Linked DNA regions of Caenorhabditis elegans. The protein of the gene in region 1 purifies or fractionates together with the protein of each later gene. This does not show direct contact. Each region holds a gene or a part of one and is shown on either strand. Other genes may lie near its edges.

What was found. Proteins that work in one complex are often made in the same cells at the same time.
Region 2: the proteins of mcm-5 (region 1) and cdt-1 fractionate together in Caenorhabditis elegans (co-fractionation; one large-scale study listed by BioGRID). This does not show direct contact.

The regions. Positions count from the first base shown.
Region 1 is NC_003281.10:4,287,718-4,293,074, reverse strand, and holds mcm-5 (DNA replication licensing factor mcm-5), read left to right. Parts: upstream 1-1,808; 5' UTR 1,809-1,826; coding exon 1,827-1,993; intron 1,994-2,041; coding exon 2,042-2,354; intron 2,355-2,421; coding exon 2,422-2,537; intron 2,538-2,582; coding exon 2,583-3,573; intron 3,574-3,952; coding exon 3,953-4,223; intron 4,224-4,269; coding exon 4,270-4,691; 3' UTR 4,692-4,811; downstream 4,812-5,357. Other genes in the region: nth-1 (Endonuclease III homolog), read left to right, coding at 244-321, 369-461, 765-963, 1,012-1,217, 1,263-1,391. UniProt on the Caenorhabditis elegans protein: Acts as a component of the MCM2-7 complex (MCM complex) which is the replicative helicase essential for 'once per cell cycle' DNA replication initiation and elongation in eukaryotic cells.
Region 2 is NC_003279.8:3,222,636-3,229,766, forward strand, and holds cdt-1 (CDT1 Geminin-binding domain-containing protein), read right to left. Parts: upstream 5,470-7,131; 5' UTR 5,333-5,469; coding exon 5,267-5,332; intron 5,208-5,266; coding exon 4,244-5,207; intron 3,131-4,243; coding exon 2,278-3,130; intron 1,156-2,277; coding exon 984-1,155; 3' UTR 525-983; downstream 1-524. Other genes in the region: rom-5 (rhomboid protease), read right to left, coding at 115-315; txl-1 (Thioredoxin-like protein), read left to right, coding at 6,813-7,063.

The DNA of each region.
Region 1 (5,357 bases):
CAAATTTTAATCGATTTTTCATACATCAAATTTGAATAAAAACTGAAAAATCGATGAAAATCCCGCATCAACGACAGTTTGACATTACAGTACTCTTTGAAGGCGCACGCCTTTTAGCATTTGACAAAAATTTGTCGTGTCAAGCTTGTCTTGATCAAGACCGGGTACCGTATATTAAAATTCGCAACGCTTTGCGTCTGAGTGATATCTGATTTTTTTAAAAATAAAATCTGCGAGTTCCAGGTTCATCGATTTCAAGTTCTTGTTGCCCTGATGCTTTCCAGTCAAACCAGAGATGAAGTCAATGCGGCGGCGATGAAAGTTCGAAAAATATAAATTTTGATTTCAAGCATTTTTTATATTTACAGAGACTCAAGGATCATGGCTTGTCAATCGGGAAAATTCTCGAATTCAAAGTACCAGACTTGGAGACGATTTTGTGTCCTGTTGGATTTTATAAAGTACGGTAACTCGAAATTTAAAATGCAAAAAGGTGTGCGCCTTCAAAGAGTACTGTAGTTTCAGAATTTGCGGAATTTTTATTGTTTTTTTTTCGGTTTTTTTTTTTCAATAAAATTGTTTACAATCAAGGGAAAACTGAAAAATCGATGAAAATTCCGCAGCAACGAGAGTTTGAAATTACAGTACTCTTTAAATACGCACATCTTTTTGTATTTACCAGAAATTGTCGTTTCGAGACCGGGTACTGTATTTTTGGTGTAAAATTTCGCATCTTGGTAATAATCTAAACATTTTCTTTCCAGAGAAAGGCCGTGTACCTTCAAAAGACTGCAAAAATTCTGAAAGATGATTTTTCTGGCGATATCCCTGATTCCCTGGACGGACTGTGCGCACTGCCAGGAGTTGGCCCAAAAATGGCGAATCTCGTCATGCAAATTGCTTGGGGAGAATGTGTGGGAATTGCAGTCGACACACATGTTCACAGAATTTCTAATCGACTCGGTAAATATTTTTTAATTTCATTTTAAAAATGAATTTTTGAATTTCTAGGCTGGATCAAGACCAGCACCCCAGAAAAGACACAAAAAGCGCTTGAAATTCTACTTCCAAAGTCGGAATGGCAACCAATTAATCATCTTCTCGTTGGATTCGGTCAGATGCAATGCCAACCAGTTCGTCCGAAATGTGGAACTTGTCTCTGTAGATTTACGTGCCCCAGTTCCACAGCTAAAAATGTGAAGAGCGAGACTGAAGAGGTTTATACCTTTTTATAAATAAAAGACAAGCGGATTTTTTTTCAGACTTCCACAAGTATCGAGGTTAAACAAGAAGTTGAGGATGAATTTGAAGATGAAAAACCTGCGAAAAAGATTAAGAAAACCAGAAAAACTAGAACCAAGATTGAAGTGAAAACTGAATCGGAAACGTAGCAAAGCAAGTGTCAAGCAGAAAATCGATAACTGATCTCTAACATACATTATACATGAATGAATAAATTAATGTTTTTATTTAAATAAAACTGGCAATTCATCTGGTTTCCTATGTTTCATGAAACACAGAAGATCCAATAAATCCATTATATAAATATTGATGCACTTTGCGCGTCATATTCACTGTCTGTACGTGAGCGTGTTTGCGGAATGTGAGGCGCGGGCGCCAAAAATTTTCAAATTTGAATCGCATCGTTTTACCGCATTCTGTTTTATTTCCATATTTTCATCCTTTTTCTATTGTTTTTTCTTGTTTTCTTCATAATTTTTTTTCATTTTGAAGAAGAAAACTGAGTTTTCCTTCTCAAAACATAATACTGATTGTCATATCCTTGTTTCAATGGTTTAAAATTTCAGTAATCCACTAACACCAATATGTCTAACCTCGACAACCCCGGAATCTACTATCAGGAACGATTCTTTGCGAATGACGGAGTTCCAGATACTGGAAGAGAGTTGATCGCTGAATATCGTCAGCTTATCACTCAATTCCGCAATTTTATCCGTGATTTTTCCACTGGAGGCTTCGGAATGATTTACAGGTTTGTGCAATTACTCTGATCAAAACTTCTCTCATTAACCAATTACAGAGATCAGCTGAAGCGCAACTACTTCAGCCATGAATATCGCCTTGAAATTAACCTGAATCATCTGAAAAATTTCGACGAGGACATTGAGATGAAGCTGAGAAAATTCCCAGGAAAAGTGCTCCCAGCTCTCGAGGAAGCCGCCAAAATTGTCGCTGATGAGATTACCACGCCAAGACCAAAGGGAGAGGAGAAGCTTCATGATATTCAAGTGACACTGACGCTTGACGAGTATCCAACCTCACTTCGACAGGTTAAATCTGCTCAGGTCTCCCAGGTTGTCAAGATTTCCGGAATTATTGTGGCTGCTGCTCAGGTATGAAAATCAAAAATGTTTAAAAACAAATCATATTAATTAATAATGTTACTATATTTTTCTTCAGGTTCGCTCTAAAGCCACTAAAGTAACCCTCCAATGTCGTCAGTGCAAGCACACAATTCCAGATGTTTCGATCAAGCCAGGACTTGAAGGATTTGCTCTTCCAAGAACTTGTGCAGCGTTCGTTATTCTTATTTAAAATGATCAAATTTTGAATAATTTCAGACCACAACAAGGACAAATGCAGCGATGCCCAATAGATCCATATATTATGCTGCCCGACAAGTGTGAATGTGTCGATTATCAGACTTTGAAGCTTCAGGAGAATCCAGAAGACGTTCCACATGGAGAAATGCCACGTCATCTTCAGCTTTTCACGGAGAGATATTTGACTGATAAAGTGGTTCCTGGAAATCGAGTCACAATTGTTGGAGTTTATTCGATTAAAAAGTTGATTCAAAAAAAGGGTGGTGACAAATCTCTTCAAGGAATTCGTACACCATATCTCAGAGTTCTTGGAATCCACATGGAAACATCTGGACCTGGAAGAACCAATTTCACAACGTTTACACCTGAAGAAGAGAGAATGTTCAAGACTTTGGCTCAGAGGAAAGATGCTTATGAACTTATCGCTAAATCGATTGCTCCATCAATCTATGGATCCGCTGATATCAAGAAATCGATTGCTTGTTTGTTGTTCGGAGGTGCTCGTAAGAAGCTTCCAGATGGAATTACACGACGTGGAGACATCAATGTTCTCTTGCTCGGAGATCCAGGAACAGCAAAATCTCAGTTGTTGAAGTTCGTTGAGCAAGTGTCTCCAATTGGAGTGTACACATCTGGAAAAGGATCATCGGCTGCTGGTCTCACTGCATCAGTTATTCGTGATCCACAATCACGCTCGTTCATCATGGAAGGTGGTGCAATGGTTCTGGCTGATGGTGGAGTCGTTTGTATTGATGAATTCGATAAAATGCGTGAAGATGATCGAGTTGCAATTCACGAAGCAATGGAACAACAGACCATTTCTATTGCAAAGGCTGGAATTACAACTACTTTGAATTCTCGTTGCTCGGTTCTGGCGGCCGCTAATTCGGTTTACGGAAGATGGGATGAGTCGAGAGGAGATGATAATATCGATTTTATGCCAACTATTCTGTCTCGTTTCGATATGATCTACATTGTGAAGGATACTCATGATGTTCTCAAAGATGCTGTAAGTTTCTGCAAGGATGCTCACGCACAGAAACAAAGAAGGGGTGCGCCTAGTGTGTCGTGATTAATTTCTGAATGATTTTACTGCATTAGCTTGCTTGCATGATTTTGGAACATTTTCGCTAATTTTTTTACAATTTTAACATTCGAAATGGGCAATATACCCCTGCTTTGCACAGAAAGCAATAATTTAAAAAAAAATGAAATCCAATTCTCTGCCGGGAATAATACAAATGAGGGGTATATTGTCCATTTCGAATGTTAAACATCTAAAAACCTTGGCGAAATCGTAATTCACAGTTGTGCACGGGTAGTACACGACGGCCGATTTTTTTGCCCAATAATTCTAAATTTTCAGCTTTAATTTTGAATATTTTCAGACCCTCGCGAAGCACGTCATCGAAGTTCATGTGAATGCATCTGCTGCTAAAGAACGTGATATTGCAGGAGTCCCAAAAACAGCCACAACTGATTCAGATGGTGTGATGACAATGTTCGATACGGATGGTTTCTTGACTATCGAGTTCCTCAAGAAATTCGTCACATATGCTCGTTTGAACTGTGGACCACGTCTTACTCCGCAAGCTTCTGAGAAGCTCGTTAATCACTACGTTAAGATGAGAAATCCAGTTGTCAATGCTGATGCTTTTAGTAAGTTTAAAATATCATTTTGTAATGAAAACCCATAAATTTTCAGAATCAGGAAAGAAGGCTCATAATTCGGCAATTCCGATTACCGTTCGTCAACTCGAAGCCATTGTTCGTATTGCTGAAAGTATTGCAAAGATGGAGCTTCAGCAGTTTGCCACTGACAAGCACGTCGAGGAAGCGCTCCGTCTGTTCCGTGTTTCAACAATTGAAGCGGCGGCAACTGGAAATTTGGCAGGAGTCGAAGGATTTACTTCAACAGCTGATCAAGAAGCATTGAATCGTATCGAAGTGCAAATGAAGAAGAGATTCGCAATCGGTACACACGTTTCTGAGCATTTGATTGTTCAAGACTTTGTTGCTCGTCAACATTATAGAGAGTCTCTTGTCAAGAAGGTTATCGATAATTTGGTCCGTCGTGGAGACTTGCAACAAAAGATGCAACGCAAGATGCTCTACCGTGTTCGATAAATTCTCAAAATTTTGTCTTTTTTATCTGGATCTCTTTCTCATACTCAATTCTTAACATATTTTCTCATTCAATTTGATTTTAAACTGTTCTAAATTATTAAATGAACGTTTGCTTTTTCGAAGACCTTGAAAAATAATCAAATTCTAGTTTATGATCGTGTCAAGAAAACACATCAGAAGATTTTCACCGCTCGTTTGCTAAATGATGGCATGCCTGCTTAAAGGAATATTTTTCCAAAGTTCTTCTTGAATAATTTGATTTTTGGCAAATGCCCCAACAATGGTGAACTTACTCAAGAAAATTTACTGATTCACCAAATAAACAAACAAAAATCACTTTAAGCCGAGTGTGAGGTTGGTAGCAGTAACTGAAAATTGTGGAAACCTAACCTAAAGGTAGTCTTCGACATAAGTTTCATTTGGAAGTCCGGGATTAGGTTGAAATACTTCCCTTGTAGCTAAGTACGGTATTATTGCAGGAGTACTGTAGGATTTGCGTAGTTTCGGAAAATTTGAATTTGAAAAAATGTTGCTATTATTAGGTTAGGGTTGGTGGTACTGTAGGGTTACTGTAGTTTGGGAAATTTAAATTTTTAGCATTTAACATGGGCCGAGAGTTGAGATAATGGCGAGGGTTTTGTGGGATTGCCTGGGTAGTTTGGGATG
Region 2 (7,131 bases), on another chromosome or scaffold:
TTCAATGAATTTTTGATATTTTTTACACAAAAAAAAAACCTTTTCTACTTCAATTTTCGCCGAAAAAACTGATTTTTTTACTAATTTTCAACTAAAAAATAAAAAATCCCGTACTTTCCACAAATCCGACATCGGCCTGACAGTTCTAGCGTCTGGACTAAACGCCTGCTTAATCTGATGATTTTTCGTGAGCTCTTTGAGCTCCTGCTGTCGTAATCGATCCCGTAATCCGTCACGTGTGAATCGGCTCGGCAGGCTTGTGCATTTTGTGAATGACCGGGAGCAAAGAAAGCCAACGAGGCGATTACTGAGCATTTTCTGAATTGAAAAATTATAGAAAAATTGAATTTTGTTTTAAAAATTTAGTTTTTCATTGAAGAATGATGAAAAATACATAAACGGTTGAAAAACGGATCGCGAAATGCGCCAGCAATGCACCGAAAATGCGCCAAGCGGAAAATAATTTTTACGCTGAAAATGAATAACAGCTTGGAATAAAAATTTTAATTCCATTTTAATTTTCTAAATAACGTTTTGATTTATTTGAAATTTTAAATTTGAAATTGCAAGAGTGATAACTTGGAAAAAAGTGAAAAAAAATTGGAAAATGGTACAGAGCATGAGAGAAAAAACGAGAAGAAAAATAGTTACAAGTGACGGATTTTTTGGAAAAGTTCCGATTTTTTCAGGAATTTTCAAAGAAATTCTGGAAAATTGAGAATTTTTAGAAATTCTTTGAAAATGTTCAGGAATTACAAAGATTTTCGAGAAGTTATAGTGGAAATTTTGTGATTTTTCGGGAATTTTTTGGAGAATTGTATTGAAAAATTTCCGATTTTTTTCCGGAAAATTCGTGAAAAAATCGAAAAATGCTCAAAAATCTTTGAAATTTCTGGAAATTCTTTGGAAAAAAATTAAAAATTGCAGGAATGTTATGAGAGAAAAGTGAGAAAATTAGTTACAAATGGCTTAGAAATTAGTTTTTAATGAAATTTGAGAGATCTTGCTGCTTTGGATGGCCGTGGTGTGTGGTGGTGGCTCATTTGTGCAATTTGGGTGTTTCGTTGCTCATCAATCTTTTTCTGAGTAATTTGGAGCTCTTCATCGAGCAACTCGTTGATTGCTTCAATGTTGTTGTCGGTGAATCGGAAGTATCTGGAAAAAAATTAGAATTTTTTTTGTTGAAATTTTACGATTTTCAAGTAATTTTTTTCACAAATGTCTGTGTCGATTTACGGAGCTCGTGTACTCCTCGAGGAGAAGTTATGTTTTTTTTGGTGGAAATTTTTGATTTTGGTCCATTTATTGTTGGAAAACCACAAATTTAATTTTTGCGATTTTTTTTTTGGAAACTTCTAAAAAATTTGGAGAATTTTTATGATTTTTTTAATGCTAAAGTAGTAATTTTGAATTTCCTATTTTTAAAATGAATTTTTCGAAATTTTCCAAGGCGAATTTTTCGAGAATATTAGATATTTTTCAAAATTTAAAAAAATCTGTAATATTTTAAACTCTCGCAGAAAATTGTCATAATTTTTTTTTTGGGAATTTTCAGGATTTTTTACAAACAATTTTTTCGAATTTTTTAAAAATCTCCAAACATTTTTGCTAATTTTCAGGAATTTCCGATTTTTCAATGAATTTTTAAAAAAATTCAAAAATTTTCAGACGAATTTTTAAAAGAAAAAAAATTTGCAGAAATCATACAAAATCGAGCACCATATCCAAAAACTACTCTTCTCCTCGTGGAGTACACCGTCTGCGTAAATCGAGACAAAGAAATTTTTAAAATCAAATTTTCCGATTTTTTTCATAACTTTTTAAAAATTCTTTGATATTTTTCAAAAATTTCTGAAAAACCACCGCGAATTTATGGAAAATTATATTTTAAAACTTGCGAAATTTTCAAGATTGATTTTTCTTTCAATTTCGATGCAAAAGAATTTGCAAAAATGACCCGAAATCGAGATTTTTTTTTAATTTTCAAAAAAAAAGTTGAATTTTCTGAAAATTCCCATTTTTGCAAATGTTCTGATATTTTTTTTTTACTAATTTGCTGCTTTCTAGAGTTTTCAGCATTTTTAAGAGAATTTCCGATTTTTCAATGAATTTTAAACATTTTTTCAGACATTTTATTTCAAAAAATTTGCGAATTTTCAACATTTTTTGAAAACAATTTTTTAAAGTTCGCCGAAATCATCCAATTTTCAAGTTTTTTCTTTCGATTTCGATGCAAAAGAATTCGCAAAAATGGCTCAAAATCGAGAAAAAACGAACTTTTTGTTCATTAAACTAGCTTCAGAGATGTACATCGGTGCGACCTCACACAACAATCTCAAATGATCCATAATATCAGGAATCGAAGACGAGTTGGACGAGCTGAACTGCACAAATTTGCAAATCACATCAATTTCCATCGTCTGAGCCCGTTTCGCCGTATAATGATTGCACACAATTCGAACATATCGGTCACGGAGCAGTGTTAGACGTTGCTTTCTTCTCTCAAGATCCTTATCAATACAAGCTTCAGCCGCCTTTTTGATTGCTTCCTTCGCACGAATACGCTCTAAAAGTGACATTGCTCCCTGGCTCTTCTGCTCTTTTTGCATCTCGGAGAACTTTTTCGGCGAGATTGGAACTGTTCCAGATGCTCCTGTAGTTGATTTCAGTGGAGATTTTAAGTCTTGATAAGCTTTTTGAACAAATGATGGTAGAGATACTTGATCCATATATTTATCTAAAGCTTCTTTCATTCCAATATGAATCGATGATTTCTGTAGAGGAGGTTCTGGAAGTTTCACCTGCGGCAGTGATGGACAATGCTTGTCAAGTCGGAATAATGGATGCATTCTCTTAATATTCGAAGAAGCACATAATCCTTGAGATTCCAAAAATTCCGTATGACATTTCGTGACAATCGAGGCCAACTTATAACGGAAAACATGAGCTCGGTCTCTTTGACGAGCAGCGTCCAGGCGAATCCTCCCGTCGACTTCTGGCTTTCGGAGAGCCGGTTGAACTTGTTTTCTGGGGCTTTTCTTTGGGGAGAGCAGCTTTGATGGGCAGACTAGTGGAAGATCTTCGGTGTCGCCGTCGGTGGGGGATTTTTCGTAAATGTAGCCTCGTAGATCTGCAAAAAAAAAGGTTTTTTGTAAGCAGGAAACTTTTTTTTGACTAAAAATTGGGGTTTTTTCGAATTTTATAACTAAAAAATTGCGTTTTTCTGGGATTTTTTGAACAAAAAAAGGTGTTTTTTTCAATGTTTGGCCACAAAGATTGTGTTTTTCTCAGATATTTTAAACTAAAATATTGCGTATTTTTCGCATTTATGACTAAAAAATTGCGTTTTTTTCGGATTTTTGAACAAGAAAGGTGTTTTTTCGTATTTTTTTGACTAAAGAAATGTGTCTTTTTTTTTCGATTTTTCGACTTAAAATTGTGTTTTTTCCAGATTTTTTAAATTAAAAATAATTGTTTTTTTCTAATTTTTTGAACAAAAAATGGTGTTTTTTCCAATTTATAAATAGCGTTGTTTCGGATTATTTGACTGAAATATTGTGTTTTTTTTTCGGATTTTTTGAATAAAAATTCGGTATTTTCGGTTTTTTTTACAAAAAACGCTGTTCTATCGGATTTTATGACTAAAAAATTGAGCTCTTTCGGATTTTTTGAATAAAGAATTATCTTTTTTCCGATTTTATGACTAAAAAACGGTGTTTTTTTCCCGGATTTTTTTCTTAAAATTGAGTTTTTTCGAATTTTTTTACTAAAAAATTGTTTTTTTTTTGGATTTTTTAAACAAAAAAGTTTTTTTTTCGAACATCTGGTAAAAAGCTGTGTTTTTTCTTACTTTTTGAAGAGAAAATTGTGTTTTTTTTCAGTTTTTTTTTGAGCAAAGCTAGTATTTTTAGAATTTCCAAAAATTAATATAAAACCAGGGCTTTTTTTTTGAATTTTTTGAAAAATTTTCACATCAAAAATCAGTATCAGGAGCATGAATAGGGTCTGTTAAAAAATAGAGAAATATTTTATTAATCGTTAAATATTTTCGAGTTCAAAAATGTGTGGAGGTGATCAAACAGAGAAGAAAAATCGATAAGTCTTTTTAAACTTAAAAGAATGCTATTTTACGATTAATATAATATTTTTTCTATTTTCTGACACTAAATTTTAATGGAATACGTCAGAAATAGCTGATTTTTTAAATGTTTTTATTGCAAATTGCCAACCGAAAGCTACGAACCTTCCACGAGATTCGGTCGAACCTCAAGTTCATACTTCCCGCCCTGGCCGAATGCTTTTCGCTGTTCACGCATCTCAATATGATATGATTGAGGATATACATGAAGAATTTGTGACAAATGTTCATTGGAAAAATCCTTTCCAGACGTATTCTTAACATTCTTGATCAACTCAGGAACCACACAGCTTCGATTCTGACCGATAAAGATCGCAGTGATCTGATCGATTCGTTTGAAAGTATCAGCGAGATGTTCATACGCAGTTGGAAGTTCAATCCGTTGACGTGCACTCTCCTTAACTTCATCAATAAGCCGTGAGCTCTTCAGAAACTCTGCAGTCATTCGTTTTCCCTCTTCTTCGTGAGCATCATCCTGCTCTCCGCGAACTTTTTCGGCCGATTTCAGGACATTAAAGCCGGGAATAATATAGTCTGGAACTGGCTTCTTCGGTGAGAACAGATTACGAGCGGCCTTGGATTTCTGAGGTGATTTGTGATGCTCAACAATAACTGGTTTCTTCGGAGATTTCAGCAATTCCACGTGATCATCGACCTGCTTCGTTTTGTTCTTCAAATTTTGCTCATGAATCGCTTTAGCTGCTCCTTTTGCAGCTATTCTTGCTTGTAAATCTGCAACAGTTCGAATTCCAGCCTTCTTTTTCGCTGGGCCGGATGCTTCCATTAGCTTATCGATCGCTGACTTCTGAGGAGCCGGATTTTCCAGAATAATATCTTCATGGATTTTGGGAAGCTCAGGGGCTTCTGCTTCAGCTTCTCTAGCTTTTTTTGGCGGAGTTCCGGAACTCGATAATTCCGCTTGACGGGATGGAGTCCGAGCGCGAGTTCGGGAGGATTTATTCTCGACGATTGGAGCAGCAGGAATTTGTACTTCTTTAATTGTAGTGGTCTTTGTGATGCTTTCATCGATAATCTTCTTTTCTCCTCTTGCTCTCGGTTTTCTGGTGGTCTGAAAAAGAAAAAAAAACATTAAATAATTGCAATTCATAACTTCAAACTCCAATTTACCTTGAAAAAGTCGGTTACAGCAGTCTGCGGAGTCTGGGACCTGGATCTAGTCACCCGGGAACTCATTTTTATCAGGAATAAATAATAATTTCAGCGAAATTATTCGCGAAAACCAAAAAATAAATGGGAGAGACGACAGACAAAGCGTACACTTTGAACAGTCCCGGTTTCCCGCACTTTTTGTCCATTGGAGCGCGTTTGTTGTCCGCTGCGTCTCCACGCTTCGTGCACTCCCTCGCCGCACCGGCATTCATTTTGAATGCTGACAAATCCACGTTTCATGCCGATTTTCTTAATTTTCCGGAATTTATACTATTTTTTGCATATTAAAATTGTGTTCAGAGCGTTTAAAAGTGCTTTTCACCTATTTTAGCGTGTAAAATGCCCAAAATTACCCAAAAATCAGTTTGAGAATGAATGCATTTTACTGTGGAAACCTTCAAAAAATCTTTTTTTTAATGAATAATTATTTAAATTGGCGTGATTCCTATATTTTTTGAAATTTTTTTTTCGTTTTTTCTTCTGAATGAGATATCTTTTGCTCCTAGAACTATAAACTGAACAATTTTGGAAGCGGTGATCCCAGAAATTACAATTTTTCGGTCAAAATTTCCCCAGAAATCGCCCAAAAAATAACGAAATTTCACAATTTCTGCGTATTAAATAGCTAAAATATATTCGTGCATTGTTCCGGGAGTATTTACAATAGCTTTTGCCAGAAATCCCAAAAAAAATGATGCGAAAGCTTAAAAATTGGAATTTCAGCGGGAAAAATTCAACAAATTCAACTACAAAATAACAACTTTTTTCAAAACCCAATTTTTTTCTTTAATTTTTCTTTAGATTTTGGGGATTTTTCCCATTTTTTGAGATTATTTTGCATTTTTCGATTAAAAATCCGTATTTTAAAGGTGGCGTAGTCGAATTTTTTTAAAATTGCTTCATTAGACTCAAAATTGTCTCAAAACACCGAATTTCATGATGAAACTGCTTGAAAACTTCTCAAAAAAAGTTATGACTGCTCAAAAAATGGCCTAAAATTAGTTAAAATTTGAAATTTGACCGACTTGTCAAGCGGCTGGAAACTAACTTTTTTGAAATTACCGTCTAATTTTGAGTATACAATTATATTATCTTGCATTTTCAATTTGATTCAGATATTTTGAAGTCGATGGACGGCGAGATTTTTAAATTTTTTAAACCAAATCTCGCCGTCCATCGACTTTAAAATACCTAAATCGAGTTGAAAACGCAAGATAATTACATTTTATATATACTCAAAATTTGACGGTGATTTCAAAAAAGGTAGTTTTTAGCCGCTTGAAAAGTCGGTCTAATTTCAAATTTTAACTAATTTTAGGCCATTTTTTGAGCAGTCATAACTTTTTTTGAGAAGTTTTCAAGCAGTTTCATCATGAAATTCGGTGTTTTGAGACAATTTTGAGTCTAATGAAGCAATTTTAAAAAAATTCGACTACACCACCTTAAAAAAATAAGTGCAGTAATCTAAATATTAAATTAATTTTCAGCCCATCTCCCCTACACCATGCCAGTTATCAACGTGAAAGACGACGAAGACTTCAGAAATCAGCTTTCCCTCGCTGGTCTCAAGTCAGTGATTGTCGATTTCACTGCAGTCTGGTGCGGACCGTGCAAAATGATTGCTCCAACATTTGAAGCTCTGTCCAATCAATATCTTGGAGCAGTTTTTCTGAAAGTTGATGTGGAGATCTGCGAGAAAACCAGCTCAGAGAACGGTGTCAATTCGATGCCAACGTTCATGGTTTTCCAGAGCGGGTATGGGTCTCATCTGGAATTGGAATAGAAATGCGGGAAATTTGAAGAAATTGCAAAAAAGTGAAGTC